4 linked regions of the Lonchura striata genome follow. The protein of the gene in region 2 purifies or fractionates together with the protein of the main gene of each other region. This does not show direct contact. Links are inferred from orthologs where the notes say so. Each region holds a gene or a part of one and is shown on either strand. Other genes may lie near its edges.

What was found.
Region 1: the proteins of CEBPB (region 2) and SMARCA2 purify together in Homo sapiens (affinity purification with western blotting; 5 studies listed by BioGRID and IntAct, with this or other methods). This does not show direct contact. The link is inferred for Lonchura striata from reciprocal best matches to the Homo sapiens genes CEBPB and SMARCA2.
Region 3: the proteins of CEBPB (region 2) and ATF3 purify together in Homo sapiens (affinity purification with western blotting; 3 studies listed by BioGRID and IntAct, with this or other methods). This does not show direct contact. The link is inferred for Lonchura striata from reciprocal best matches to the Homo sapiens genes CEBPB and ATF3.
Region 4: the proteins of CEBPB (region 2) and SMARCC1 purify together in Homo sapiens (affinity purification with western blotting; 3 studies listed by BioGRID, with this or other methods). This does not show direct contact. The link is inferred for Lonchura striata from reciprocal best matches to the Homo sapiens genes CEBPB and SMARCC1.

Annotation. Positions count from the first base shown.
Region 1 is NC_134642.1:16,215,931-16,223,604, forward strand, and holds the start of SMARCA2 (SWI/SNF-related matrix-associated actin-dependent regulator of chromatin subfamily A member 2), read left to right. Parts: upstream 1-4,354; 5' UTR 4,355-4,525; intron 4,526-5,521; exon of another isoform or gene 5,522-5,584; intron 5,585-5,888; exon of another isoform or gene 5,889-5,986; intron 5,987-7,674. UniProt on the Homo sapiens protein: ATPase involved in transcriptional activation and repression of select genes by chromatin remodeling (alteration of DNA-nucleosome topology).
Region 2 is NC_134619.1:966,247-973,322, forward strand, and holds CEBPB (CCAAT/enhancer-binding protein beta), read left to right. Parts: upstream 1-5,139; 5' UTR 5,140-5,412; coding exon 5,413-6,387; 3' UTR 6,388-6,402; downstream 6,403-7,076. UniProt on the Homo sapiens protein: Important transcription factor regulating the expression of genes involved in immune and inflammatory responses. Also plays a significant role in adipogenesis, as well as in the gluconeogenic pathway, liver regeneration, and hematopoiesis.
Region 3 is NC_134605.1:11,854,971-11,862,486, reverse strand, and holds the start of ATF3 (cyclic AMP-dependent transcription factor ATF-3), read left to right. Parts: upstream 1-4,194; 5' UTR 4,195-4,368; intron 4,369-7,516.
Region 4 is NC_134603.1:156,475,592-156,483,267, forward strand, and holds the start of SMARCC1 (SWI/SNF complex subunit SMARCC1), read left to right. Parts: upstream 1-4,372; 5' UTR 4,373-4,396; coding exon 4,397-4,618; intron 4,619-7,676. UniProt on the Homo sapiens protein: Involved in transcriptional activation and repression of select genes by chromatin remodeling (alteration of DNA-nucleosome topology).

The sequences.
Region 1 (7,674 bases), on a different chromosome or scaffold from region 2:
AGTAGGTGAGGAAAAGCTCATTGGCGGTCATCAGCTTCCTCGCTCAAGCAGGATGCCCTAGCGCATGGTAGTCAGAATTTTGTCTACATTGCTTTTAAGTACTCTAGGGAAGGAGACTCCACAACTACTCTGGGCAACCTGCTCCAGTGCTCAATTAGTAGAGAATTTCTTCCTCATGTCTCATGTTCAGGTGAATGTTTCTATCTTCCAGCTTCTGCCCATTACTCAGCATTACTAAGAACTTGACTCCATCCTCATGAGAGCCACCCATCATATATTTATACATATTGATGTGATCTTCTCTCAGTCTTCTCTTCTCCAGACTGAATAGGCCCTGTCCCAGCTGGAATGCTCCAGACCCCACCTATGCTGCCCTCAGCTGAACATGCTTCAGGAGCTACATGCCTCTCTTGCCCTGAGGAGCCCAGAACTGGACATGTTGAATTTCAGACAGTTCCTCTCTGCCCACCTCTTCAATCTGCTGAAGTCTTTCTAAAGGGTTGCACAGCTCTCCTGGGTACTGGCCGCTCCCTTCCAGCTTTGTGTTGTCAGTGAACTTGCTGAGGAGGCATCTACCCATGACTGACAAGTTAAACAATACTGGACCAGTACTGAGCCCTTGAGGACACCACTAGAGACAGGCCAGCAATGAGATTCTGTGCCACTGATTACAACCCTCGGGGATCTGCAGTTCAAGCTCAGGAAATTTGGGTCGGACAGTGAGGTTGCAGTGAGAACTGGCACCTCACTGTCCACTCATCCAGCCCATACTCCTGAGCTTGCCTATGAGAGTAACACCAGAGGACAGTGTCAAAACTCTTGCTCAAAGTCCAGGTAAACATCTACTGCTCTTCCCTCTCATCCACCCAGGTAATTGTCTCAGCATAGAGGGCAATCAGGTTAGTTAAGCACACTGACTACTCTTCATCATCTTTGTGTCCACCATGTATGTGGAGGTGGCCTCCAGGATGAAACGTTTCATTACCTTTTCCAGGATTAAGATGAGACCGATCGGCCTGTAGATCCCAGAATCTCCTTCTTGCCGCCTTTGAAGACTAGGGTGGTACTTGCTGTCCTCTAGTATTGTGACACCTCTCCTGACTGCCATGACCTTTCAAAGATCTGAGAGCAATCATGTCTACTCGTTCTTTCAGCATTCATAAGTATGAAGGAACCCAGCAGAGCCCATGAACTTGTGGATGGCCAAGTTCACTTCTTTATGATTTCCCTGGACACACTGAAGAACATTTTGAAGCAGAAGCCTGAGCATAAAGCTGTCTTCTTGGAATGTTCTAGCTTAAGCCATTTTTCACAGCCACCTAGGCTAAAGCAGCTGGATTCTGCTAAGAACCGGCTGAAATACTAAAATATAATTTTTTCTGCTATTTCTGTTGCAGTGAGTGCAATTGTCTCTGGCAGACAAGTGATAGCAAACACAGAAATAGCAGCCCTAACTGTTACAGCAGGGGTTTCAAGGTGGTAATGGTGAGGTTGCTGTAAACAATTGCAACTCCCTGGTGGTAATGACCTCTTTTTGGTTGAAGTGTCCCTTCAAGAGTACCACCGATACATCAGTTTCTCAACAGCCTTACTGTGTTGGTATAATTCTTCAAATAAAAAAGCTTTAGTTCCACAGCAACATATCTAGCTACTCAAAGAAATATCTCTTTTTGTAGTGGTACCTCATCTAGTCTGAAAATTTTACATGCTATTTTACCATTAATGGCCATATCCATTTAATTCAAGTTAAAGACCCTCATCTTTTCTTCCTTTTGTTATATTAGATAAATTAATGGGGGAAAACAAATTTATCCTATAGCATGTGACTATTCATCATCAACATATTCATTATAAACAAAGCTTCAGCTACTTAAGGCTCATATAGGGAAGCCTTACTGACCCTTCCAATTAGGATTTTTGTATCAGGTGAACATGCCTCACTTGACAAAAAACTCTCATGTTTCCCACCCACTCCAGACAGATTACAATGAGATTCAATGGTACTTCATCAAAACACAAAAAGAAAAAGCATTCAGACTGACACCAGCAACAGGCATGTTCATGCTCTCAAAATGGAATTGGCTGCTGCAACCTTCCCAAAATAAACATAATCATTAACTAAATATAGCTGTATCTATTCCAGAGTCAAGAGAACCTTTCTTCTTTTGCCTAAAAGATTAACTTTTTATTTATTTTTCTTCTCTGTATACTTTCTAACAAAAAGAATGGCCTGACCTGGTTTAGAATGTTTTGAGTGTTGCTGAATCCAGCAAACAGTCGAGCTGTTTTGAAAGAAAGCTTCCCCTCCATTATTTAATGTTTGTTGTCTCTTTGGCAGAGAGAAAAGGCAAACAGTCCTCAGATTTACACTAGGGAATGGAGGAAGAAAAACAAACGACAAGCGTAAATGACTGCCTAATGAGAGTTTCAGTATTAAGAAAAAAAATTATAATGAGAAAGCATCTCTTTACCCCTTTCATTTTCATTAGCATAATGTTCCAAGAATGTTAAATACATTCTTTTATCTCTTAGACGCCAGTTTGCAGCTTAAGACAAAGCTAAAAACAAAGTTTTAAATTACAAGTCAATCAAAAGATTTACATAATGACATAAGTTATTTTGTATATTAAGATTTGAATGATTCAACTTCTTTGATTTTGTTCCCAAGTAAATATTTTGCAATGACAATGGTGAACTGAAAATACAGCCTTTTAAACTTTTTAATTTATTGATACTTTGCATTATCCAGTTAGCACTGATTCTTACACACCTATTTTCAGCATTTTGACCATTTACATAAAAAAAAATAAAATGAAGACGATTAAACTGGAAAACTACAGGAACAGTAGTAATTCGTATTGTATTGCCAGCATTGCAAATTGGTGATTTGAATAAAAAGAGCTCCACGCTAAACACCGTGTAAACAATATCTGTCACTTTAAGACCATAAGATGCATTTGGTGCTCCCAGCACTATTTCAGGTCTTTAACTACTCCACCTGACCACAGCTCAGGAACTTCACTTAAACTCGGTCACCTGAGCGTCTGTAGTAGCTACTGATTTTACTTAGATTCCTATGAACATTCTTACTCCATACGAAGTGAAATTTTACTTGCAGAATGGCAAATACTGCCCATGTGACATAATCTTAAAAAAATGTAACTACCTCTAACACCACGTACAGTAATCTGGCTGCATTTTTTTTTTTTTTTTACCTCTACAACCCGTGTTCAAGAAAAAAAAAAAACCTCAGACAGGTAGGCCCATTATTTTAATGAAGTACTTAGTTGCCTGTTACATGAACAGGTACAGCTTGTACAAAAAACATGGGAGCTCTGCAGCCCCTGCTGCAAACCACGTAAACCACCTGAAGCATTAAAAAAAAACAAAAACCAAAAAAAAAAAAACAAAAACCAAAAAAAACAAAAAAAAAAAAAAAAACAAAACAGGAAAAAAAACAACCAAAGAAAGAAAACCCCAAAAACAAAACAAACCAAAAAAAAACACCCAAAAAACCAAAAAATATGCAGCACTAGGATACAGAACTGGAAAGTGTCCTTCCAAACCAACTTTAAAAAACCTACTCAAACGGAAGCAAGCAACACAATGCACTATTTCCCCTCCCAATCGCGCAGAAACAAGAGCTGCTCCGCGGCTCTTCCCCCGGGTTCGCTCTCGCCGCCGGTGCCTCCGCAGCCGCCCGGCCCTGCCCCGCGAGCGGCCGCGGACAGCCGCAGCCTGCCGGCAGGCCGGGTCCGCTGCAACGCTCTCGGCAGCCCGCCGTCGTCCACGACAGAACCTCTGCTACGGAGAGAGGGGATGGGCTCTAAGCTTTCCCCACACACGTGTTTTTATGTTAAGGGGAGAGAGACACCCGCCCTGGGCACGCACACGCACACGCACACACACAGACACCCAACAGCCAGACACAGCTGATCCCACGCCCGTCAGGCTGGCTCCTCCCCGCCCCTCCAGCGGGGCAGAGGCACAGCGCACTTCCAGCACCTTCTTCACCTCTTCCCCAAACTACTGCCGCGAGTGCCGCCCTCGTAGGCAAAGAGGTCCTGCCCCTCTCCCCGCGCCGCGGAGGCGGGCCGGGAGGGGCGCGGCGGCGCCGCCGCGGGGAGCGCGGGCTGCCGCGGCCGTGCGGCCCGCGCGCAGCGCCGCGCTCGCCCTGCGCACGGCGCCGCGGAGCGCGGCGCACCCCGCCCCGCGCGCGCCTGCACACCTCCGCCCCCCCGGCCTCCCGCGTGAGCGACGGCTCCCCGGGCCAATAGAGCCGCCCCTTCTACGCAAGGGGGCGGGCACTCCCTGCCTGGCGGACCAATGGCAACACCGCTGTCTGAGCAGTGGCGAAGGCGAAGGGGGGGCCGGAGGAGGGGCAGGAGTTTAGGAAGAGGAGGGAATGGCTGTCATCAATGAAGTCATGTTCGTGATCTAGTCCCTCGCTCCGGTTCTGGACTCGGGTGACTCACTGAGGGGGGAGAGGAGCGACAGTCAGCACGGCGCTCCGCCCGGGCGGAAGGTAAATACAACTTGCGACTCGGTCCAACCCCGTCAGCTCCCCGTGCCCGGGCACGGTCCTTTATTGTCGCCGGCTGTGCCGGCTCGCTCCGTGCCCACCTTCCCTCTCCCCATCGCTGCCCTTCCCTGCGCACGGCACCGCCGGTCCCAGCCGCCGCCGTGCCACCTGCTTCCTCTCCCCACCTTCCCCCGTGCCGGGCCCTCCCGAATATTTATATCCCCCAGTGGGTGGGGAGAAGAAAGTTTTGATCCGGTATTATTCTGGAATAATCACGATGCGGATCTCCGGAGCGGGAGCGACAGAACCCCCACGGAGTCGCCGGTGGCTGACTCGTGAGTCAGCGGCACTCTCGGTCCTGCCGCCCAGCGAGCGTGTCACGGGCTGCGGGCGAAGCGGCCACAAATAGATCCTTGGGGAGCGACGGCCCGCACGGACGGGCCGGGGGCGGCTCCGCTGCAGCTGCCGGGGGTCGCGGGGTGAAGTTCAGGGCGTCCGGAGGCAGCAGAGCGCGGTGCGCTGGGGCTGTTCCTCCGCCGTGGCACACGCTGGCTCAGACCCAGCCGAGCAAGGGGAAGTGGGGAGGCATGGGGGGGGAGGAACATGGTGCAGGGGGGAGCGGTCTCGCCTGCGAGGAGAGTAGCGGCATTCCCCGGCAGAGCCAGGGAGGCCATGATCCGGATCGTCGCTGCGTGCCTGTCACAAACATCGCACACACCGGGGAGGGGGAAGAAGCGGGGGCTTGGACTTTAGCCCAACAGGGCTGCGGCTCCTGTTGCTTTTCGGTCTCTTGTTTTTAACTGTGCAGTCACTCCTGCTGGAAAGGTGTCGCGGTTTACTTCCCAAAATAGCTTGCATGTCGTCGTACCCCTCCCGTTTTCCCTGCAGAAATTCACCCCCCTCCTCCTCCCCACCTCCAAGCAGAGTAGCACAAAACATGCGCTTACAATTTTGGAATCGCCTGCCAAGCAAAAAAGCGTTTTATTTCCGGTGTGCGCGGAAATTTATTTTTTTTAACCCGGCCGGGCGGGAGCCAGGATGCAAACGCGCGCGGATGCTCAGGTAGCTGCGGGTCGCCGGCCCCCGTGTCGTGAGAGGGGACAGCGGTGTTTGGCACCTGGAAAAGTTCTGTGCCCAGCCGGAGGCGGGGGTGGGCGGCAGAGCGCTGCTGCAGCCAGCTGCCGGGCGGGGCCGGGGGCAGCGGAGCCCGTCCGCGGGCCGCAGCGGGGCAGGGGCGGGAGGCGGCGGCGGGGGGAGGATAGGAGGGCGGGTGGCCTTTCCCGTCCCTCCGCCTGTACCAGCGGCGGCGGATCAGGAAGTCACCGCCGCCACACACAGGCGCACAGACATGTTTGGTCGGCGTGACATGGTGGCGGAGGGAAGGAGAGGCGGGGAGACGGGCCCGGCCCAGCCCTGAGGCATGACCCGGCTGCTCGCCCGCCCGCCCGCCCGCCTGCGGCCGAGGTACGGGGCCGTGCGCGGGCAGCGCCGCCAGCAGCGCACCCGCTGCTCCATGGAGGGGCGGGGACAGGCAGCAGCGGGGCCGCATTTCCAGGCAGGGACGCTTTACAGCTTGTGGGCCGGGGAGAAAACTTTCCAGAAGGGCTGGAGGGGGGAAAACGGGGCCCTGCCGGTTGTGCGCGCCCGCCGCGGCGCCTTGGCGGGGGAGGCGGCGGGCGGCCGGCGCCGAGGCCTGCGCGCCGCCCGCCCGCAGGGCCCGAGCGCCGGGGCAGAGCGGCGGGGCTGCCGCCGAGGCGGCGAGCGCCCGCCCTTGCCCCCCGCCGCTCCCGGGTCGCGGGTGCTCCGCCGCGGCTCTTCCTTGCGTGCACGGTGCAGAAATGGAGTTTCTTGCCTTGTCTCCTCCCCTCTTAAATTTATAATGGTGGAACTACGAACTGCGCACGGCTGGAAAAGTTACAGCTCTTCTAAACTCGATCTGAAGTTACAGTTTAACGATTGGCTTGGATTGTTTTTTGTTTTGGTTTTTAACCTGAGCGTGCGTTATGGTCAAGCAAAGGGAGTGTAAAAGTGTCAGCAGATTACATACATTGTACCGAATTTGTTTTTTCTTGATACCTGATTAATATGTTTGATATTCGGAGTTATCGAATGCTAGGTTAACGCTGTTCTTTTTAGGATATATTTTTATGAATATTAATGTGAATATGAATATGCAAGTAAATAACCAGCTGAAGAATTGAAGATTAAAAGTTGCTGGATTTTTCTTTTTTGTTTGGTCGGGTTTTCTTCCGCTGTGTTCTGCATGCTTTCATTGTAGAATTGATCTGGGGTCTGTGACACTGCATTGTTCCGTTTGCATTTTCGCTGGTTTTCTTTTAACTTTCTGAAATGTTAAGTGGTTTTAACCACAGACCCTAAGACCCAAACGGTACACAATTCTGTACCAGAATTTAATTCCTTTGCTAGTGTACCAGTTGCGTGTTCGGGGTGGGGTAGTCTCCTATGTGCAAGTTACTATTGTTGTGCAAATACGGGCACACTTTCTCTTTGGGAACCTAATTGCCCTATTACTGTCTCTGACTTTGTTTCTTTTGTTCTTTTGTGATTCTAAGGAAAAAAAGTAGTGTGTCAGAAGGATGGGTTTGCCTCGAGGCAGGTTTTTATGTCTTTCTCTCTCTATACATATACATATATATATATCAGTGATAGAAAGAAAAAATACTGTATGGATAGTGGGCTTTTAAAATTTAGTGTGGATCATACAGCATATGTGGACTTGCCAGAGGTGAGAGTAAAAATATTATAAACATTATTTCTCTTTAAGACTGGTATTTCTGTGGTGTTGGATGGAACATGTGCCAAAAGAGCGTGTTCAAAGCTGTTTTAGATCTTTTGTTCATTTCTGAAGTAATCTATGAACGTTTCTTGTCAAGTTTGAAAAGTGCTTTCACCAACAACTGAGGCTTGAAAATTAACAGGAGAAAAAGTCCTTCAGCTTGCATACCTATATTACATATATTCGTGACAAAGGTGTGTTTGAAATTACTATCTCCCTATATATTGAAATTACTATCTCCATCAGTTTTTGTTGGACTTGTTAAGGTCAAAATGTGCACAATAACAACTGAAAAAATACCTAGATTTTGCCTGTGTTTTTTTGTCGTCCTGATGAGTAATATTGCTATGAACTA
Region 2 (7,076 bases):
TCGGTCCGCCCGAGCCCCGGGGCACGGGGGAGCAGGAACCGGCTGCGGTTCCTCGCTGGACTCTCTCTGGCATGGGAAAGTGTCAGTGGGTGGCGGAGCTGGAGCAGCCACTCCCACGGCTCGCGTCCAAGGCCGAAAATGCAAAGGTGGGGAGATGGCAGGGGCCGAGGAGCGCGGCGTGCGGAGCACGGAACAGCGCGGTTCCCCCGCCTGGCAGCCCGTCCCCACTGCCAGCTGCCGGGTGGCACAGACCAGCCCCGGGGCTCTTCCGAGTGCCAGGACTCACAAACAACAAGCCCGGACCGATTCCCTGGCAGCCCCGCTTTCCCCGTGCTGCTCGACACAGGATGAGAGCAGATGGAAAACAAGTATTTGCACAGTCTAGAGCACGGACTTCTAATGCTTTTAATAAAGAAAAAAAATCTTCTATTTCTTTCCCTAAGCCACTTCCCCTGTCACCCCCTCTCAGACTTCCCTTGTTTTATGTTGCCCCTTGCCATACACCCCATGGAGTTCAGGCTGTCTGTCCCACAGCCTCAGGACTGCAGAAGAGTTCTCTTTTAGAAATTTCCTAAATGAATTACCAAGTCCTGTTACTAGGAACTTCTGACACTCTGTAGGGTACCCTGGAAGGGTAGAATTCATCTCTCTTGATGGATCTTTTGAAAGCTTGGATACTCCAGATGTCATAAATGCATGACCTGTAACAAATTCATCAAAGCAGGAGGCTGCAATTACCCAGGAAATGTCAGGCAATTACAGAGAACTTTTGAAACTTAGTGGACAGCAACTTCTCTGCCATTTTAATGGAGCACAAGGAAACGGGCTACTCATAAAATACAGCCACCTCTCACTGTCTCTGCTCAGACTGCCAGCCCACATCCTTCCAACAGACAGCTCCTGCAGGGACTTTGCCATGCAGGATGGAGATTGTGGCCTGTGCTTCCATGGGCCTTGGTGTCCTGACTCTTCCTCCTTTCCTTGTTTCTCAGCGCCACAGGGTGGCTGCTCTGACCTCAGGTTTGCTCTGGAAAGTTTTCAGTCTGGTCGGGAGGGCATTTGGCTGATGTTGTCCCACTGGAGTCAGTCTCCAGGTGTCGTCTCCACTCACCCGCTGGGGCAAAGAGCAGCGTGGAGATAAAGGGGATTGAGCAACGCAGCGCTGCAAAGGCCAAGCCTGCTGGGTCAGAGGTGAGAGAAAATCAGCAGAAGACCAACAAAAAGCATGTCCCAGCCCATCACCGTGTCCCACGGGAACAGGGTGAGGGAGCTGGGGGCAGGACCCCGGTCTGTAACAAAAGAAGAGAAGGAGGCCACAGACACAGCCTGCCCCTGGGACTGCCAGCGCGGCACCAGCCACGGGGCAGCAGGGCAAAGCTGTGGCAATCCCTTTTCGTGTTCAAATGAAGCAAAGTCTCGAGCCTGGCCTGAGCTGGGCAGACAGATGGAGAGCCAGCCTCTCCCTTGAGCTGAGACATTGTCCCTGCCTGGCATTCATCAAGGGCTGTTGTTTTACAGCAGAGAACAGCAAGTGAAGAGCAATGGTTTCAAACCTGTGCTCTGCCAGGTGCAGCTGCTGAGTTGCTGTTGGCATATGGTGTGCAGCTGAATAAAGAGAGACCTGGGGCTAGGCAGAAGGGAAAAAAGGGCTCAACATGCTCAGAAATAAATTTCAATGTTACTTCTCTATTCTACAGCCTTTATTGCAACACTGTTCTTTTAGGCAAGGTCCCCTCCTACCCCCCAGAGACCTTCCGTGCTTGTTTGCAGGGACGCTGCTCTGGGGTCCCTCCCGTTCCCCTCCTCACCTCCAACCCCTCCCGCAGCACCTCAGGCACTGCTGTGGCTGCCGGCTGCTGGCATCGCCCTCCTGCCCGCTGCCCTGCTCTGCCCCTCTGCTGCTGCACGAGCAGCTCCAGCACCAGGCAGCTCTGATCTTACTGACCTGCTGAGAGCGACTGCCAGGGGAATAATAAATGGGGCAAAACTGAGCAAGAAACATCAGAAATGTCAGCCAGGCTCTTTCCAGAGACCTTCTGATAAACACTCCAGTGTCTGAGCCATCCCCACTAAACTCACAGCATCTCCCCAAAGCTGGTGTCGTTCCAGAGGCAGCTGCTGTAGACCTGGAGTGTGTGAACTGGAAAGTTTGCAAGAAATCCTGGAAAAGAAGACAATTTCCAGGAAGAAAATTCCTCTGCGATGCTTTACTGTGGGTCTGAGCTGCAAAGTTGAGGCTTCCACAATACAAAAAGAGAGAGCAGAGTTTAATTCATGACAGAGATGAGCAGTGAGGATGAGATTCTTCCCTCCACCTTTTCACCATGCTGGTCTCCTTCTGTTCCCCTCCCTTTGTCTGGATTGTTTTACATATGAATGTAGAGGAACCTGGATGCTATTGCATCAGAATTTTTTCTCAAAAATGTTATATTCTTACTAAGTAATTTGGGACTTTTGCTGTCTCCTCCCTTAGCTGAATAGTTCTGAAAAAAAAAAGAAATTATGAAATCACTAGAAGGAAGGTGCTTTTCACAGAAGTGCTGCTTTTATAATGAAAATTGCTCTGCTGGGAGACAAGCTGAAGGGCTGCTGCCAGTGCCTGGGTCCCTTAACCAGGAATGTCTGCATCTCCCTGCCTAAAGCACCTCTGAGGAGCTTTTCAGGCCAATTTTCAGGACAATTATTAGCAGTCTCTGCACATCTGGCAAGGCCGAGCCAGGCACTCACAGGCACGGAGCCCTGTGTGCCCAGACCTCGGCTCAGTCCTGCGGTGTGAGCCTCGTTCTGCACCTGCTCCCATTTCCAAATCCCCACTCGTGGCCGTGCATTTGTTGTGACAAGTGCAGAAATAATTTAAAAGAGACCAGAGTTAGCCCCAAACCTGCTTGCCGAACGCTGGGGTTTTGGATCCGTGGTTAGTCCCGCCAACAAGGTTCCCATGAGAAGCTGGGAGCGGACGTTGGCCCCAGGAGAGTGGATGCTGGGATTTGAGGTGAGCTGGAGGAAGTTGAAAGGGATCCAGGCAGAGCAGGGAGGTGAGGGGGAGAGGGAAGGAGGGGACAGGCTGGGCAGCGGCCTGGATTGCCGCCCGGCTGGCGCGGTGGGGTGACTGCAGGATTACTCAGCGTGGGCCGGCAGGATCTGCTCCGCGCGGCAGCGGCGCGGACGTTTCACTGCCTTTTGTCAGGGAAGGTCAACCCCGGCAGGAATACAGCTTTCTGCTGCACAGCAGCCGAGGGCAGGGCAGAAATCTGAAGAGGGCAAACGCAGATCCCCAAAACCGTCGTGAAAATCTCTTCAAGAACTTCACCGAGCAGCTTTAGCATTCGGCTTCAGCTGAGGACCACGGCGAGCTGTGGACACGTCGGGGCGATGCCAAGGCAGACCAGCTGTGCCTGCAGCGGGTCAGTGCCCAGGAGGGCTCCTGCCCTGGGGCCCTGGGACGGTTTGGGGTAGGAAACACCAGACTGGTTTTTAAGAGTTCGGTTGGAAGGGCCAGTTAGGGCAGCCACTGGATGTAACTGCCAGATCAGAATGCAGGATAAAGGCACAGGATGAGGGAGTAAACAGCCAGAAGAACAAGCCCTGGCTCACTGCAGCTTGCCAGTATTTGCACCCAATACAGATGTTTGTATTTATGAAGGTATGGGCTCCAACTACAATCTCCAGACCCAGCTCTCTGGCCAGGCCCAGCTCCAACTTAATCTCTAGTGCATTCACCAAAGATTAACTTGGTAGATAAAGATGGAACTAGAAATATTTGAAGCCTGAAAACCTGTTAGGGAGCTTTTGTTATGGAAACAAACAAATAAATCCTATTAAAACGTGAAAAGAAAAATAAAAAAAAAAGAGAAAGAAAAAGTCTGATGATCCACTGACTGATTCTTAAATTCTTCCTCTTTTCAGAGTTCTGAGGTTTGAACATTAAGAACAGTTGACTGTTTGAATCATATAATGCAATACCTGTTCCTCTGGCTTAACGTTACAATATTTCCCACACCGCAGGATTGCTTCACATTATTCTAAGAGGCAGTGTCATTTTCCCTGCAGTGCTAGGTCTTCTTTACTGAGGGAGGACACTCCTACTTCCTTTAATTATATGTTTTGTTTTAAATTAATGTCCTTTATTCTGGGCATGAATCATCAGCTTGTAGACAGGTAAATGTGGGAGTAAGAGAGTGAAAATATAAGTTTGATTCCCAAGGTGGGTGTCTTTAATTAAAACGGACATCGGGATTCAGTCTTCCTTCCCAAACTTACCCCGCAAATCTCAAAACTTTTGGATTCCACCCTCTGATGCACGAACCTCACTCTCCTCTGGCCCCCATTCCGTCTCCTTTGGCTCCAGAGCCGGTTCCCTGCTCCCGGCTCCCGTGGGTGCCCTGACAGTTGCCCCACATCGTGCAGAGCAAATATGCCAAGACAAACGCTAGGGCCCCCATGGGTGCTGGAAGCGCCGGGAGGCAGCGCTGGCTTGGCCGGGCTCCGGTGCTGCGGCCGCCAGGAGGAGGCCGGGGCAGTGCCCTGCTCCAGCCCCATCGCTCGGCCCCGGGCTCGCCGCTGCCCAGCGGCTCTGGGCACGTCCCTGTGGCACTTCTGTGCCAGTGGGATTCGCCAAAGCGAGCCCGGGACGCCGAGTAACGGGATCCGGCTTTGGTGTGCAGCTTTCCCCCTTCTTTGCCAAAAGAACTTGGAAAAATCTCTCTTGCCTTGACTTCCCCTAGGGAAGCGGAGCGATCTGTGCCCAGCCCCGGGCACTGCCAGCCCCGGGCACTGCCAGCCCCTCGCTGTGCGGGCCCCGGCAGAGCCCGGGCGGGCACGGGGCAGCGGCAGCGCCCGGCACACGCTGTCCCCGGGGCCGCCCGCTGCCCTGCCCGCTGCCCGCTGCCGTCCCGGCCGGCCCTGGCCGCGGCAGCCCCGACCTCCCGCACCTGCGGGCCCGCAGCCCGGCCCCTCCCTCCGGCCCGGCCCGGTGCACTGTGGGCGGCCCGGCGGGCACCGCTCGGCACCGGCGCGCCCGCCCCGGGAGCCTCCTCCGGGGCCGGGACCGGCAGCGCCGAGCGTGCGGAGTGGCAGGCGGCCAGGCGGTGACGCGCCTGTTGCTATGGGATCCACCGCCCCTATAAATAACTGGGGAAAGGAACTTTCCTAAGTCAGAGACTTTAGGACACGGGACCCAGAACCAGATGGTCCGGAGGAGACGCGCCAGCCCCCGCCGCAGCTGCCGGAGCGGTGAAGCCCCGGCGCGCCGCAGGGACTGATCCAGCCCGGCCGGGCAGCGCCGCGGGGCCGTGCCCAGGCCAGAGACCGCGGCAGGGTCTGGAGCCCCCCACCCTGACGGCGGCAGCTTGAGCCTCTGCCGGGGGGGGTCCCCTGCGTCGTTTCCTCCTCCCCGCATCCCCCTTTGCTTTCATGCAACGCCTGGTGGCCTGGGACGCAGCATGCCTCCCCATCCAGCCGCCCGCCTTTAAATCCATGGAAGTGGCTAATTTCTATTACGAGGCGGACTGTCTGGCTGCTCTCAACAAGCTGCACCCGCGGGCGGCCGGGGGCCGCTCCATGACCGAGCTCACCGTCGGGGACCACGAGCGAGCCATCGACTTCAGCCCGTACCTGGAGCCCTTGGCGTCGCAGCCGCCGCCTCCCGCGGCAGCAGCAGGGGGCAACTTTGAGCCTCCGTGCAGCAGCGGCGCCGGCCAAGATTTCCTTTCCGATCTCTTCGCCGAGGACTATAAAGGCAGCGGCGGCGGCAAGAAGCCCGACTACACCTACATCAGCCTCGCCCGGCACGGCCACCCCTGCGCCAGCCAGAGCCACAAGCCGGGGGGGCTGCAGGGCTGCTTCCCGCCCCAGATCGTGGAAACCAAAGTGGAGCCGGTCTTCGAGACCCTGGACTCTTGCAAAGGGCCCCGGAAGGAAGAAGGGGGCGCGGGGCCGGGACCGGGGGGCATGTCCTCGCCCTACGGCAGCACCGTGCGCTCCTACCTGGGTTACCAGTCGGTGCCGAGCGGCAGCAGCGGGAACCTGTCCACCTCATCCTCCTCCAGCCCCCCCGGCACCCCCAACCCCTCCGAGTCCTCCAAGTCCGCCGCCGCCGGCGGGGGCTACTCCGCCGCCCCGGCGGGCAAGAACAAGCCCAAGAAGTGCGTGGACAAGCACAGCGACGAGTACAAGCTCCGCCGGGAGAGGAACAACATCGCGGTGCGCAAGAGCCGCGACAAAGCCAAAATGCGCAACCTGGAGACTCAGCATAAAGTCTTGGAACTGACGGCCGAGAACGAGCGGCTGCAGAAGAAGGTGGAGCAGCTCTCCCGGGAGCTGAGCACCCTCAGGAACTTGTTCAAACAGCTGCCCGAGCCCCTGCTCGCCTCCTCGCCGCGCTGCTGACCCCCGGCCGGGCGGCGGGGCAGCGGAGCCGCCGCTTCTTCCCGGCCCCGCTCCGCGCTCCGGGGCCGGGGCGAGGGCCCGAGAGCCCGCGGCGGGCGGGCGGCTTTGGTTTTCATTTGCGTTGTTGTTGTTGTTGTTGGATTTTTGTTTTTTTTTTTTGTCTCTATCGACATGTTGGCGGAAGGCTCCGCCGCCGCGCGGGGTCTGAGCGGGGCCGGGGCTGCAGCGGGGCGGGCGGGGGGACCCCGGCCCCGGCCCGGGCGGGCTCTGCTGGGCGCTGGGTTATTTAAAAGAGCGAGAGGAGAGCAAGGGCAAAGTGATGCAATCCTTTAAGCATGGCTGGGAATGCTGTGTACATGATGCAATCTCGTGTAACTGTCAGTCATGGATTGAGTAATCTGTTAAAGATGTTCCTACAGTTTTTTTATTATAAAGAATAATCTATTTCTATAAGAAAATACATATGTATATTTTGGGATCTATGCATTCTTGCTACATTTGAAGCATTAATGAACAATTTTAATAAACTTTATGACTAGGTTAAAAAAAAGTAGCTTGTTTTATTTTGAAGGCATGTTTAAAGTTAGATTAAACACAGGGTTGAAATTCCAGCTGATTCTAGCTCAATGCTGTGATCAGGGACAGGGATTTTTCTAAGTCTTTAACTTTCTCTGAGTGAAAGGGAAAAA
Region 3 (7,516 bases), on a different chromosome or scaffold from region 2:
AGAAAAACAAAGAGCAAAATAATTTTATCTTCAGTGTTAAAGAATAAAAGCTGTTAAAACACAGCACCTATTTCCCTCCACAATACATATATTTATCTGTTCATCTGCTTGAGAGGTATTAAATATAAGAGAGTGGCAGCGTTTGCCATACAGTCTCAGTGAAAGTCAGTTTTCTAACCCTGTGGTTTTAACTTCCATTTTTGGACCTTTTCAGTCCATAGAGATCCAGCTCTTCCAGAGTGAATTTTGCCCTTGCTCCTGTAGGCTTGGATGTTTTTTATTCCCTTTTTGGAGAAACCTATGGAAGTAGCCCACAGATGCTCAAAGAGTCCCCAGACAGCTGCTGAAAAACTCTGGGCAGGGTGAAGGTGGCTGATGCTGCTTCTGCTGCTGATTGCTCCCATAGTTCCAGCAGTAACAACCTACATGCTGGAAAAACTAGTCCCGAGTTTCACCCCTGGTGTTTGTACAGTGAGATGGGAAAATTATCTCAAAATTCCTGCATGTTTTGGTGAACAGAGGAGTCCTGCCACATAGATTCAGACCTGAATGTAACACATAGCAAAAATGATTATGAAGGTTAGTTCCCATCACAGAAGTAGAGAGTAATATTTCAGGCAGAGTCAGAAAACCTGATTTTGTGCAGATTTTACCACATGATAACTCTGAATTATGGAAATCTGTTTCTCTTATATGTGCTGTGCATTGAAAGTTTTGTCTTGTCAGGGTTACAGTAATTTCAAAACTTTATACAATTCAAACCACAAAACACACAGAGAGGCAGTTTTTACTCATGTTATCACTACACATTTGATTTATTTAAATCTCATTATATTTTCATCAGACTGAACAGGTTTAATGGAACTGTGTGACCAGAAATTAGCACATGATCTGGATGGGACATGGAGATTTTTTTTGTGTTGCTCTGACTGATGTCCTGCAGTAGCATAAATGTTAGGACAAGAGAAAGTTTGTGCTGTGAGACTGGGGGTCTGTTCCTCTGTATGTCTGTAGCTCTTTTTAATAATGAGACAGCCATATTTTAATTTTAATCCAATATCCACAGTGTGTGAAGTAGTGCCAAGTGATATGGAGGCAGGACTTGGTCAGAAAGAGATAAAGGAAAGAATTCTTTTCTGCACACTGGAGATTGCTGGAGGGCTGCAAGGACCACGCCAGAGGTGGTATTCAGCCTGATTTCTCTGCAGAGGGAAAAGAACCCAGTACACACCAGTCTGAGTGATGAGCTGCTGTACCTGGCTTAAGAGAAACAGCAGTTAAGATCGTGGATGTTACCTCTGTCAAAAAAATGCTGTTTCAGGGGATATGTCCCCTGCAGTTTGTGATGAAAGAGAGACATGGATTGGAAAAGGACCGGTAAATGTTCATGGGGAGGCAAATGAAAGATATTTTATGAGATGGAAAATTAAACTGGCAAGAACATCAGAGTATCTGGTGGCTGTACTGGGTGTTACTTTAACTTCCTGATAGTCTTAAATTTTACTTTTTTTTTTTTTTTTTTTTTTTAACTGGGGTATGATCCAACTGAGATTAGCTTAACTTTGGTTTCAAAAGGAATCTGGATAAAACCTATACAACACAGTGGAGCTGGGTTTATTTTTCACTGTGGTTTCATTTTCTTTTTTCACTGAAGACTCAAGCCAGGACATGTTTCAGTGGCCTAATCTCAAATGCGCACAGGAACATTTCTCTGTTTGCTTTGCAGGGAGGAGCTGGCTCACTTCAGGACAAGTTCAAGAATGAACACAACTGGTTTGATGTCAGATTTTAGTGCTGGCTGCAGCTCATGGGAAGTAATGGGACCAGCATTGTGTAGCAAACAAGTAGATGCCAGTGACCATCCACAACTGGATAACAATGCTTGGATTTCCAAGGTACTTCTACCCACACGGAAGGGGAGAACTGCTTTTTTTTTTTTTCCATTATTCTGCAACACTGCTCTGTTTAGCTGAAAATACTTTAAATACATTCCCACTTCTGATACAGCTGCCTAAATAAATAAGGACAGACAGTTGATAAATTTCTGTCATAATTGCAGCAGACACCTGTTCTTGGCCACTAAAACCAATGTTGTTAACACATTTCCACAGTGCTTAAAATTTTCCAACCAACTATCTTTTGGGAAGAAATTTTCCACATTTGGCTTCTGCTTGAGAGGAATTTTTTTTTCTTCTAGGCTTGAGAAAAAGTGCCAGCTGTCCTTGAGCACAGCATGAATTATAAAATTGTGCCTCTGAAGTAAAAAGAACTTATTAGGCTGTAACAAGGTGAACTGAAAAGCTTTCTCTAGACCCTTCTGAAAGTTTTTGCCTGGCATTATACTTGACATTGATTTATCTAGATTAATAAAAATGCAGCAATAACTATGTTTTGATAGAGCTAAGAATGATTTCTCTATAGGTGAGTGAAAAAGAAAAAAAGCTTGCAGCTCACAGGAGCTGTAAATGGAGTGCTGCCAGGTAGGTCAGAGGAGTTCACTGCTGCCCTGACAAAATGCACTTCTTTGTTTGCAGAGAACAGGCTGCGACTGCACCTTCCACAGGAGGGAAGCCCACGTCACTACCCCAGACTCCTTCCTTTCCCATCAGATCAGGATTTTTCTTTCAAGAGCAGGCAACTAAATGCGGAATAGGAGTGTTAATTTTGCAAAGTTACTGGCACTTGGACATTAAAAAAAACTAAATTTATTACTCCAGACTATGTGGCCAATATTATATCTATCTATATCTATATCATCTATATCTATATCTATATCTATATCATCTATATCTATATCAATCATCTATATCTATATATATATCTATATCATCTATCTTTCTATATATATATACACACACATATATATATCCAGACCATCACAAGCACACAGAAGGGAGATACAGAAGGACTTTCAAACTACTAGTCTCTATTCTACTAATTCTGTAAACTACTATTCTACTACTAATTTGTATTCTTCACAAAATGCTCCAAGTAATAAAAATATACCAGAATATACCACTCAAGACTTATTACCTATTATCAAAACTGATATATTGAACATTATAAAATTAATCAACAATTTGGAGCACTTGATTGGGATATGCATCTTATATATTAAGGTATCCATTTCATGTTGGTTTACTTACAATACAATGTACTCAAGCATGAAATGTCCTGGTCTTTTCAAGTCAAGTGCAGAGGCTTGAAGACTGGCTTAATAACAAGTTTGCATATATTATATATTAATTATTATAGTACTGGATGATTGCATGCATTTGTCTTTGTAAGCTTTCTGTGTCTCCCCCAGCTAAATGTTTTCTTTGATGTTTTGGTTTTTGTTTTGGATTTTTTTTGTTTGTTTTTTAAACATCATATTTTCTAGCACTTTGAAGGCTGTTAGAAGGTAATTTCTGTCTGTTAACAAACCAGAGGGGGAAAAAAAAGAACTAAACAAAAACCCCTTTACCACAGCCACAACTGTATTTCCCTCTCTGCTGTAGGAATTCCCTGGTTTTTCATGAGATTATAAGGAAATCGCATGCTGCTGTGTTTTAAGAAAAGTTTTAAAAAATACCCTAACAAAACAAACAAAACCCCCAAACAGTGTTATTTTTAGCTGTCTATAATTTTATTAATTTACTCTTCTCAGAGTAAAAACGAAGCTTTCTCCTTTATGTGAACGGAACTTTTAGCTGTCATCTAAAGTAGCGAGGGGAGGAGGAGGGAGAATGAGAGAAACCGGGGAGTGGGGGGGGGTCATGAACAGTTTTTTTTCCTCTAGAGAAAGGTCAGTCCCTTCGAAAAATACACAATTACCAGTTTTTTTTGTTTGTTTTTTTTTTTTTTTTTTTTTTTTTTTTTTTTTTTTTTTGTCGCTAGAGGGACTTTGATTTATTGTCAGAAGTAAAATAGCCCGGAGAAAGAAACTCTCGGAGTCTTAATAGAAATAAATAAATAAATGACGGGGAGAACGGTGGAGACGGAAGGAGAAGGGGTCTGTCGGGGTGCCGAGGGATGCTGCTCGGCCCGGCTCGGCTCGGCGCGGTGGTGGTGTCGTTCCGTGCCGTGCCGTGCCGTGCCGTGCCGTGCCGGCGGGGAAGCCTTGCATCACCGCCACGGCCCGCTTCCCTCCTCCCTCTCTTTCGGAGAGGCTATTAATAGCATGACATCAGCCAGGGACTCGCCGCCAGAGTAAATACCAGCGCTGCCCGCTCGGCTATAAAAGGGGGGTGATGCAACCCGGGCGAGCGGCAGAGGCGCGGGGAGCCGAGGGAGCCGCTCCCGCGGGAGGCGGCGGAGCAGCGCGGGCGCGGCGGGGCTGCGGAGCCCCTTCCCTCCTGCCCGGACGGCGGCGGCGGCGGCAGGAAGGTAGGTGGGAGCAGGAGAGGAGCGGCCGGGACTGCCCGTGCCGGCGGGACGAGGGGCTGAGCTCCGGGAGGGCTGTCCCGCCGCGGAGGGATGGATGCCCGCCGGGGGACCCGCGCTGCTTCGCCGGAAAAAAGTTTCGCCGCCCCGGGCGAAGTCGGGCGCGGTGGTTCCGCCGCCGGCCGTGAGCTCCGGGAGAGCCCCCGGCCCCGCCGAGCTCCGCCGGAGCCCCTCGGTGCCGTGCCGGCGCTCACATCTGGGGGAACCCCTGCCCGGGCTGCCGCCAGATGTGAGCGCCGGGGGTGCCCGGCCAGCCCCGGTGTCCCCGGGCCGGCAGCGCCGCTCGGCACCGCGCGGTGGCGGCCGCGGCGGGCACGGTCCCGGCTCCCGGGAGCCGCGGGATGCCCGAGCGGAGCGGCCGCGCCCGGCGCTGCGGGCGGCCGGCGGCGGCACCGCGGGCACCGGGACGGGGAGATGCGGCGGGACAGCCCAGGCGGCGACAAACCGGCGCTGCCGCGCGTAGAGTCGTCGCTGATGTTCCCGTAAACCGACCGGGAACTTCTGGTGACAGCCGGGGGATACCAACTCTCCTTGCTGTCCCGGTGTCTTGACGTGAAGTAGATCAGTTGCTGAACTGTTGCCTAAGCAAATCAGGCGTGACACAACGGACGGCTTCTTTCAGAGAATGAGTTTCCTGGTGGAAATCGATTTTCCTCCTGGTAACAACATTTGAGAAGCTGGAAGGCAGCAGAAAATGGTTTGGGAGCGATGTGCGATGTCAGAAAGCTTAAGGTCAACTAGCGTGCACAGAGGTTGTGAACTGTAATTGCTCTTAAGGCTGTTTAAGATTAACCTCAGTGGTTATCAAGGTTTATTGCATCAGCACCAGAGGAAAAGGAATTTGTATGAAGAAATAAAACCAAGAAACATAGTCAGCCATCTGCTGTTAAGCAAGAAAAAACTGAAAGTAGTCACTTTCAATATTAAAATTAAGCAAGCATATACTTAATTAATGGAAGTGCACGGCTAGGAAGCCTGTTTGGATTTTAAAATCTTGGCAGATGAGATGTAAAAAGTCATTGCAGATTAAAAGAATCATCTTTAAAACAACAAACAAAAAGCAGGGGGAGAACGAATGAATAGAGTTGTTTGAACCTACCTGAATTGGGAGGTTTACTATTCATATTGCCACGAATAGTAAAACTGTTGAGAATTTCAAAAGTAAGGCTAAAGCACTGAAGCATTAACTCAGCCCGGGAACAAGCTGAGCCGGCAGCAGTGCAGGGCTGAGAAGTGTTCAGCACCTCCAGTGGCAGTAACTGCAGAACATGTGCGTGGTCTAACACAGTAAACAGAGATTGTATCAGAAAGGCCACGACGGAATCACACTCTAAGGCTTGATATTCTTATTCCTACTGTTTCCCCAGCCTTCGCAAAGCCAGAGGAAATGAGATAGTGCTCTGCATGGCCTTTGGACAGAGGGACAATTTGTACAAAAGCTGGGACAAGGAAGGGCAACTTGTTGCATTTTTTTTTTTTTAATAGTAAAATTGAATTTTCCTATTTGTAAAACATTTCTGAAAACAGATTTGTTCCCCAGAAACTGTAAAGCATCTACCTTCCTGGAGCAATTAGAGGTGCATTTCAGGATGATTGGGAAGGCAGTGAGCTGTCCGGGCAGGAGAGCAGCAAATTCCTAGGGTCAAGGACACTTTCTCCTGCTCTGGACACCTGACCACTCCTTTTTTGCACACTAATGACAGGTGGGTGAGAGAACCTGAAGCCATTATAGTAGGGTTTTGGTGGTGTTTGGGGTACACTTACACTAACTACTAGAAATCCACAATTAACACAATTTCTCAGGCACATTCTTGGTTTCCTCTGGTGCTGCTGCTGACCTTAATTAAAAGTTCACCTAAAATGAAAAATAATTGAATAAAGCAGCAGAGCTTGAAAATTATTAGCCCAACTAATTATTTGGGAGGTTGGAAAAACAGTTTTACTGTTACTTTAAGACTCCTGGATGGATTGAATTGTACAGAATTAACTTTGTTGAATGAAGCCATCACCAGCATTCAAGTACACTGAGTCAGTGAAAATAACTGAAATTTCTGCTGGCAGTGAGGGGTTCAGTGTCATCTGGAATTAGCCTGTTTAAAAATTAATTGAATGGTTGAATGTTGGCAAATGGCAAATAATACTGGGAGGGCTTCAGCTGGAAATTAATAGGGCCATTTCTGACTTGCTGGGAAAGAGTAACTGCTAGCTTTCTGAGATTATAGGATTAAACTGTATCAGTACTTTAAATGTGACTCATGAGCAGGGGCTTTCTGAAGAGAATTACATAAATTTCCCAAGGTCTTTCTGAATAACAAATTGTTCCAAATAATTTCCCCATCTTGAATAACTATGGGTGAAATCCTGGCCCCATTGAGGTCAACAGAAAAAGTCCTATTGATTTCACTGGGGCCAGGATTTCACCCTGAGACTCTGGGAAATGTTCAGCTCTTCCGTGGTGGCTGGGTGAGGAAGAAGTGAGGAAGACTGCAATAGGACCTGATACTTTCCAGCAACAGGCAGTTAATTCACTCTGCTCTGGTTTTTGTGTTTGGCTCAGCGATCAACCAGGTTCTATTCTCATTTGCACCAGTGTGGATTTACAGTGTATTTTTAGATATCTCCAAGCAAATTCTATCTTCTTCTCAGGGCACGTGACCCCAACATTTCTTGCTGGGTTCCAGAAGTAACGTACAGGGACCTGTGCAGTTCTAAGTTGATCATGTGGAAATTTAGCTTACCCACACTGCTACCCTGAGGCAGCTGTTTGCTTACCTGCACTAAGTTAATTACAATTGACTTTCCTGTAATTATTGTGGTTCTAATCCAGAGTAGATAACACATACTGTAATTATCCATACAGCTATTAAAAAAACCCCAAAACAAGAACAACAAAAATCTACACACCAAAGATACCTGGAAAACCAAGATAGTAAAATCCAATTTAACACAAGTCATTTTATGAACCAGGGAAGTATTACAATCTGTTTTCCTGTGGATTTGCATGTTTGTCCCTTGGACCACACACAAAAGGTGCTCAGTTTTCTTCCAGACCTCTTATCTCACCTCTGCTGGGTGAGAGATGGGCTGTGAC
Region 4 (7,676 bases), on a different chromosome or scaffold from region 2:
CATGGGTTCCTCCCCACGGACACACGGATACCAACCTGCCCTGGCTGCCAGGGCCACACCTGGCCTTTTCCAAGGATGAAATCAATAAAACCAGATTAATTGACTTGGCAAGAATTCAACCCCACGTGTGCTGTGGTGATTCTCAGAGGGGAATGTCCCTGGTGTGATAAATCACTGCAGGGAACAAAGTCGGGGAGGTTTTTTGTGGTTCTGGAGCCAGATTGCCAAGGCTGGAGCCTGTGTCCCCTTCCATGGGGATCACCCCAGCCTGGCTTAAACTGCCCTAAAGCCAAGGGGATTTTGATGAGTTGGGTGAGTCCAGTATTGCTCTGACAGAAAGGAGCCAATCCCTGAATGCTCCAGAAGTGCTGCAGAGAGGAAACCAGGAGTGGGACAGGGAATGCTGCAGGGAATGCATCTCCCAGGGCACTGGCCACATCCCCCTGCACATTCTGACCAAAGAGGGGCAGCTGTTTTTGGGGGTACCCCAGGGAATCATCCAGGGAATCCCTCCCTCAGCTCCTGGGACAGGATGGGCAGGTAAACTGCAGCGTTCCCTAGTGGGAATTCAGGGAGCAGGAACAAGGAATGCCCCAGCCATGCTGGGGTGGGGAAAAGGGTTCTTCCAAAAATGCCTTTGAGCTGAGAGAGGGCAGGGATGGATGGGAGATTGGGAAGCAATTGCTGGCTGGGAGGGTGGGGAGGGGCTGGGATGTAATTCCCAGAGAAGCTGTGGGTGTTCCCTGCATCCCTGAAGTGTCCAAGACCAAGCTGGACATTGGGAACAGCCTGACCACGGCCTTGCTGGATGATCCTTACACTCTCTTCCAACCCAAAAGGGTAAATGCAATACAAAGTTGATGAGAGTGGTCTTTTCTGCTCAAGAACAAAGAAATAAAAAATGGAGAACCCTCCGGGGATGAGGCTCCAAGGTGAACAACTGAGATCCCCTTGGATAAGCAAGATTCCAACCCAGCTGTTGGTAGGATCCTGGCTGCAGATCCCAGCTGGGCTGGGAGCCTTACTGGGAACCAGTAAGAATCAGACTGGGTGGGAGTGGGGCAGGACAGGGAGGAGAATAAAGGATCTGCTGAATCTGGACAGCAGGAGCGCAACCTGGGAATCACTTTTAGCACATCCAGCAGCCTGGGGGAAATCCCAGGGTTTGCTCCTGCAGATCCTAATCCCAAATAATAAGTGTCCAACTGTGGCAGCTGCTCCAGCCCGCAGGGAAACACAGAGATGGAAAGGGATACTGCAAGACTCAAAATGGATTTTGTCTGATGACAGGAGAGATGTGGGAGCTCCGAGGACACTGGATTTGTGAAGAAATGGCCTGGACAGGCAATGGCACAGCTGGAATGAGAATCCACAGGAGTGTGGAGCCCTGTGCCTCACACCCAGCAAACTCCAGAGCCCCGAGTGGCACAAGAAACACTAAAAGTTTGTTAGGAACAGACTCAGTGCTCCTGCTGCGAAGGCAAAGAGTGAAACCAGGCAAAGCGGCACGGAACATTGTCAGATAAAATCCCAAAGGATGGGAAGGAATTGCTGGGGTCCCTTGATCCACTGGAAAACAACTACATGAGGAAAAACCACATCGCCGAGAGAGACGCAGGGAAAATCACAGCAATTCCGATTATTGGCTGCTGGGATAGTCCAGCGGTGTTGGAAGGGGCAGAGCCCCGAGTGCTTTGTGAGGAGAACAAAGGAGAAATCCTGCTGTCGGCACATCCAGCCCAAGGATTGCCTGCCCGGGCTCCGGGCAGCGCCAGCCCGCCGCTCGCAGCCGTGATTTATCCTGTACTTTCCGTGCTTTGGGCCGAAGGAGCGGCGGAGGGCTGCAGGAAACCTTTCCCTACAGGAATCCTTTCCTCCCGGCCAGCCCCGCAGGACCCTCGCTGCTGAGCGGCGGCAAGGACGCGCTGCCGGTGGCACCGGGCTCCGAGCGGCCCCGGGCGCCGGGGCCAAACCGCTGACCCGGAGCGACCCTTCCCGCGGCCCCGGGGCTCCACGGGGCCGGCGGGGACGAGCCGCAGGCGGGCGCGGAGAGGCGGGAGCGGGAAGGGCAGCGGCAGAGCAGCTCCGAGCGGAGCGGAGCGGAGCCTGCCCCGGGCAGGGACGGAGCTCCGGGCACAGCCGCGCTCCGCGGCCGCTTCCCGGGGCTCCCCCCGCCGACCCCTCGCCCAGGGCCCGCGGGGAGCGGTGCCCCGGAGCCTCCCCGAGCATCCCCGAGGCCTCCCGAGCATCCCCGGGGCCGCCGAGCATCCCCGGTGCCGCCGAGCATCCCCGCCCGCGCCGCCCCGCCCGCACAGGCCGCGGCCCCGCACGGCCCTCCCCGCCTCAGCCCGCGCTGCTCGGCGCCATCCCCCGCTCGTCCCCCGCCTCCCGCCGCCGTGCCGCCCCCGCGGCCCCCCCGGTTCTCCGCAGGGGTCGCGGTCCGACCCCCGCCCGCCCAGCACCGACCTCCGCACCGCGACTGCCGCCGCCGGGCCGCCCCTCGGGACTACAGCTCCCGGCAGCACCCGCGCGCGCTTCCGGCGCGGCGCACTTCACTTCCGCTCTCCCCGGAACTGAGGCGGCCCGCGCGTTCCCCGCGGCCGGCGGCGCCGCGGCGCGATGCCCCTCGTGGGCGCGGGGCGGGGTCTGTCCCCATGGCAACGGCACAGCCAATGGGCGGTGAGGGATGTCCCCATGGCAACGGCAGAGCCAATGGGCGGCGAGGGTTGTTCCCATGGCAACGGCAGAGCCAATGGGCGGCGCGGCCTCTGGGGGCGCTGTAGCCTCGGCCCCGCCGTGGGACCCGTTCGGTCTGAGGCCCGATCCCGGTCCCGGTCCCGGTCCTGGTCCCGATCCCGGTCTGAGGCCCGATCCCGATCCCGATCCCGGTCCCGATCCCGGCCCCGATCCCGATTCCGATCCTGATCCCGGGGATGGACCCGGCCAGCCCCGATCCCGGCACCGGTCACGATCCCGGCCCCAATCCCGATCCCGGCCCTGATCCCAATCCTGGTGATGGACCCGGCCGGCCCCGGCCCTGATCCCGATCCCAGCCCCGATCCCGGCCCCAATCCCGATCCCGATTCCGGCCCTGATCCCAATCCCGGGGATGGACCGTGCCAGCCCCGATCCTGGCCCCAATCCCGATCCCAGCTCCAATCCCGGCCCCGGCCCCGATTCCGATCCCGGGGATGGACCTGGCCAGCCCTGATCCCAGCCCCAATCCTAATCCTAGCCCCGATCCCAATCCCGGTCCCGATCCTGGCCCCGATCCTGATCCCAGCCCCGATCCCAATCCCAGCCCCGATCCTGGCCCCGGCCCTGGCCCCAGTCCTGATCCCGATCCCGATCCCGGCCCCAATCCCGATCCCAGCCCCGATCCCGGCCCTGATCCTGATCCCGGCCCCGATCCCGATCCTGGGGAAGGACCAGCCCCGATCCCGATCCCAACCGGGGAGCTGCTCAGAGCACCCGTGGCTGCCCCTGGATCCCCGGCAGTGTCCCAGGCCAGTGTCCCATTGGGGCTGGAGCAGCCGGGACAGGGGAAGGGAGCGAGTGCTCCGTGTCCCCGCCACGGCAGGGCTGCGATGGGATGAAATTTTATGGCTCTCCCAAGCCAGACCCTCTGGAATCAGGGATGCGATGGGATGAGATTTTATGGCTCTCCCAAGACAGACCCTCTGGAATTGTTGGCTGGGCTCATTGTGCTGCCTTTTGAGAATGGCAGTTCTGAAATGGTGAAGTTCAGATTGCAGGATGTTTGCTGGGTTTATTGTTCCCTGTATCTCCAGAGGTTTCCTTTCCTGCAGGTGTTTATTTCTGCTTTGGAGTGTTCAGGGACGAGGAACATTTACAAACTACTGTAAATGCAAGGGACAGTTTTATACTGGGGATTGTGATTTTAATGAAGGACCTCTTGGTGCTCTATTTAATAATGTTGGAACTAAAATATGTATTTTTAAATGGTTTATCATGGTTTTGGTTTGTTAAATTTTTTCTCTGTTATGTTCAATTCACAAATAAAACATTACTAGACACTCAAAACTAAGTGGTTTCTATAAAGGAAAATTGGGGGGAATTGCTTCATAATGACCCGTTCCAGGGCTCTGGTTGTGGAAAGATAAAGGCACCCAAACAGTGAAGACTTGGTGCAGACACCTGCAGGTAATTATGTCAGCACCCAATTTACTCCTTAATTGGGGCTCGGGGTCTCCAGGCGGGGCCTGAGCAGACCAGAGAGGTACCGAGGGCACGGACGGGGAGTTCGGGGCCCGGAGCACCCCCTTGCCGGTGCCGAGGGCGCGCTCCCGTTCCGACCCCCCGAGCGCGTCCCCGAGCGCGCTCCCGCTCCGGCGGCGGGCGCGCTGCCGGGGTGGGCGGGGCGCGGGCGCGGCGCATGCGCGGCGCGGGGCGCGCGGGGACAATGGCGGCGGCGGCGCTGGCGGCGGGCGGAGGCCCCGGGAGCGGCCCCGCGGCGGCCCCGGCGGGCGGGCCCGGCCCCGCGCTGGCCGCGGCGCGCCGCAAGGACGGCGGCCCTGCCGGCAAGTTCTGGGAGAGCCCCGACACCGTGTCCCAGCTCGACTCGGTCCGCGTGTGGCTGGGGAAGCACTACAAGAAGGTGCGGCCCGGCGGGGGCGGAGGGCACCGGGCGGGCGGCGGACGGGACGGGGGGGGGCCGCAGCTTTGCTCCGCTCTTTGTGAGCCGCGGCGGGCGCGGGGCCGGCTCGGCGGCAGCGCCGGGCACATTTCCGTTCCCTCGGCGCCGGCCGGTGCCCGGGGCCGCGCTTGGGGCAGCCCCGCTGGCCCCGGGACGTCCCCGCTGCCCGCGGGGCCCGGCCGGTGCCCGCTCGCCCCGGCAGCGACTTTCCTGCGCGGGCAGGTCCCGGCCCCGCCGGGTTTCGCTTCAGCCGCGCCCCGGCGGTGCCGGCAGTGCTGGGCAAAGGGAGGAAACCGCAGCGGGAGCTTTGGGAGCCGCGCTGAACCCCGCGCCGTGCCCCGGGCTCGCTTGCGGCAGCGTCGTTGCTGCCCGCGGGCTCCTCTTCCTCCTCGCACGCCCCGGCTGCTTCGCTTTCTTTATGCGTTTTAATTTTAAAGCGTGCTGACTTTCTAACTCCATTTCGGTCCGCAGCCGGGGGGGATGGCCGGCGTGGCTTGGCAGCGGCTCCGCCGCGCGGCGGTGCCCGGGGAAGCCGCGCGGCCCCGGCCCGCCTCCTCGCCGCCGTTCCCCGGGTTGGGGCAGCCCCGCTGTCACCGCCCCTGGAGCAGCCCCGGCTGGCGCTTGGCTTCTTTGTGAGGCGGAGAATCCGAGAAGGGCGATCCGACCTGGGAATCCGAGCTGCAGCGCCCTGGGGTGGGAGCCGCCCGGGCTCGGGTGTGTTTTTCCAGTCCTTCCAGCTGGGCTCGGGGCGTGGGGCGCCGTTTGCAGCGGCCGCTCGAGCTCTTTGTGTTGACGGGGAAATGTTACGGAATACTCGTGCAGTTTGGCTTGTTCCGCTTGCGGTTCTGTGCTGTCCCACGCCCTGGAGCAGCTGTGGTTTCGCCTTTCCCTGCCCTGGCCGAGCAGCCCCGGGATGATCCCGGGAAATCGCTGCTCCGGGAAGGGCCCAGGTGCCCTGCTGAGCACGGAAAGGATTTGCTGTGGCTCGAAATCCCCGGCCAGGCTGGCTCTGTGCTGGCTCTGTGTGGTGCAGCAATGGGAGCCAAGGGAAAGCCCCTCCTTTCAAACTGGTTATCTAAAATAGGTATTTATTTCTCGCGAATCTGAAAGGTAATTAGAGTTGGGCTAAGGAGACTTTACAGGGTGAGTGAGTTTTGGAATGTTGCTGTGACGATCCTTTTAAAAAATGAAAAGTAATTTTGGTTTGAGGAAACAAGAAAACTGATACTAGTGCTCAAGGATCAAGCCTTAACACTCCAGGAGGGAAGGGCTGGCTCCCTTTTGGATGTGCTGGAAATGGACTCTGGTTCAACTTGTTCTGTTTTCATCCTGCTGTAGGTGCGTGGCTCCTCCCAGAGAAGTACGTGGTGATTTTAACTGGCTTTTGTCCAGTCTATACTCTTAAAAATAGATGTTTGTACATCTCAGTGGTGAAGCTGTCAGCAGCAGTTGGTGTGTCCAGCTCCAGGGACACTGGGGACCAGCTGGAGATAATCCCAGAGCACCACCGAGCTCAGTCAGGGATCCAGAGGTCCTGAGGGGCAGGGAGGGTTGGAGAGTTGCATTTACAGAGCTGCTCATTTTGTCTCTGGATTAGACAAGACTTAAATATTGAAGAGTTCTCTGTGTTTCTAGAGTACAACAGCTGTGGAGGAGCTCTCTGTATCTTCAGAGTACAATTTAGAGCAAAGGAGGTTTCAGTAGTAGTGTGGAAGACTCACACTGGACCTTGAAAAACTCATTGACAGGCACCAAAGACAATGATAGAAAATTAAATTATTGGTATTGTACTGAGCAGATTTATTCCAGGCTCCCTCCTGCTCCCAGTTTGTGTGTGGAGTGTCTGGAAGTGGGTTTGTGGTGTTCTGTGCATGAAGGGATGCAGGAGGTGGCCAGCCCCATCCCAGGCAGTACGGGTGCAGTAGGGATGGTGGAGCCTTGCTTCCCTGAGAGCTGGGAATGGGCTCATGCCGTGGGTTTGGAGTCCTGGGGCATCTGAGAGACTTACATGGAACAAAGTCACAGATCCTGGAATGGTTTGGGTGGGAAGGGGCCTTAAAGCCCATCCAATTCCACCCCCTGCCATGGCAGGGACACCTTCCACTGTCCCAGGCTGCTCCCAGCCCTGTCCATGACACTGCCAGGGATCCAGGGGCAGCCACAGCTGCTCTGGGCACCCTGTGCCAGGGCCTGCCCACCCTCCCGGGCAGGAATTCCTTCCCAATATCCCACCCATCCCTGCCTTCTGGCAGTGGGAAGCCATTCCCTGTGTCCTGTCCCTCGATCCCTTGTTCAAAGTAATTTGGAAAGGCTGTAATGGACACCTTGATGTCACCATAGTAACTTAGAAATTCACAGTGTAGAAGTAAACTGGGCAATTCTCTTTTTATTATCTCAATGCTCATTTATCTAGGACATTGTGCATTGTTCAGGCAGTTCCTTTCTCAATAATCCCTCATATTAAAATGGGCTGTCCCAAAGCAGTTATTTGTTGTCTCTGAAAACTCTTTCCAAGGTAGTTTGGGAGGGGTTTTAGCTGGGATCCAGGGAGGGTTCTGTGTGTGCAGCTCAGATCCAGGGAGGGTCTGTGTGTGCAGCTGGGATCCAGGGAGGGTCTGTGTGTGCAGCTCAGATCCAGGGAAGGTTCTGTGCATGCAGCTGGGATCCAGGGAGGGTCTGTGTGTGCAGCTGGGGTCCAGGGAGGTTCTGTGTGTGCAGCTCAGATCCAGGGAAGGTTCTGTGTGTGCAGCTGGGATCCAGGGAGGTTCTGTGTGTGCAGCTGGGATCCAGGGAGGGTCTGTGTGTGCAGCTGGGGTCCAGGGAGGTTCTGTGTGTGCAGCTGGGATCCAGGGAGGGTTTTGTGTCTGCAGCTGGGATCCAGGGAAGGTTCTGTGTCTGCAGCTGGGATCCAGGGAGGGTCTGTGTGTGCAGCTCAGATCCAGGGAAGGTTCTGTGTCTGCAGCTGGGATCCAGGGAGGTTCTGTGTGTGCAGCTCAGATCCAGGGAGGGTCTGTGTGTG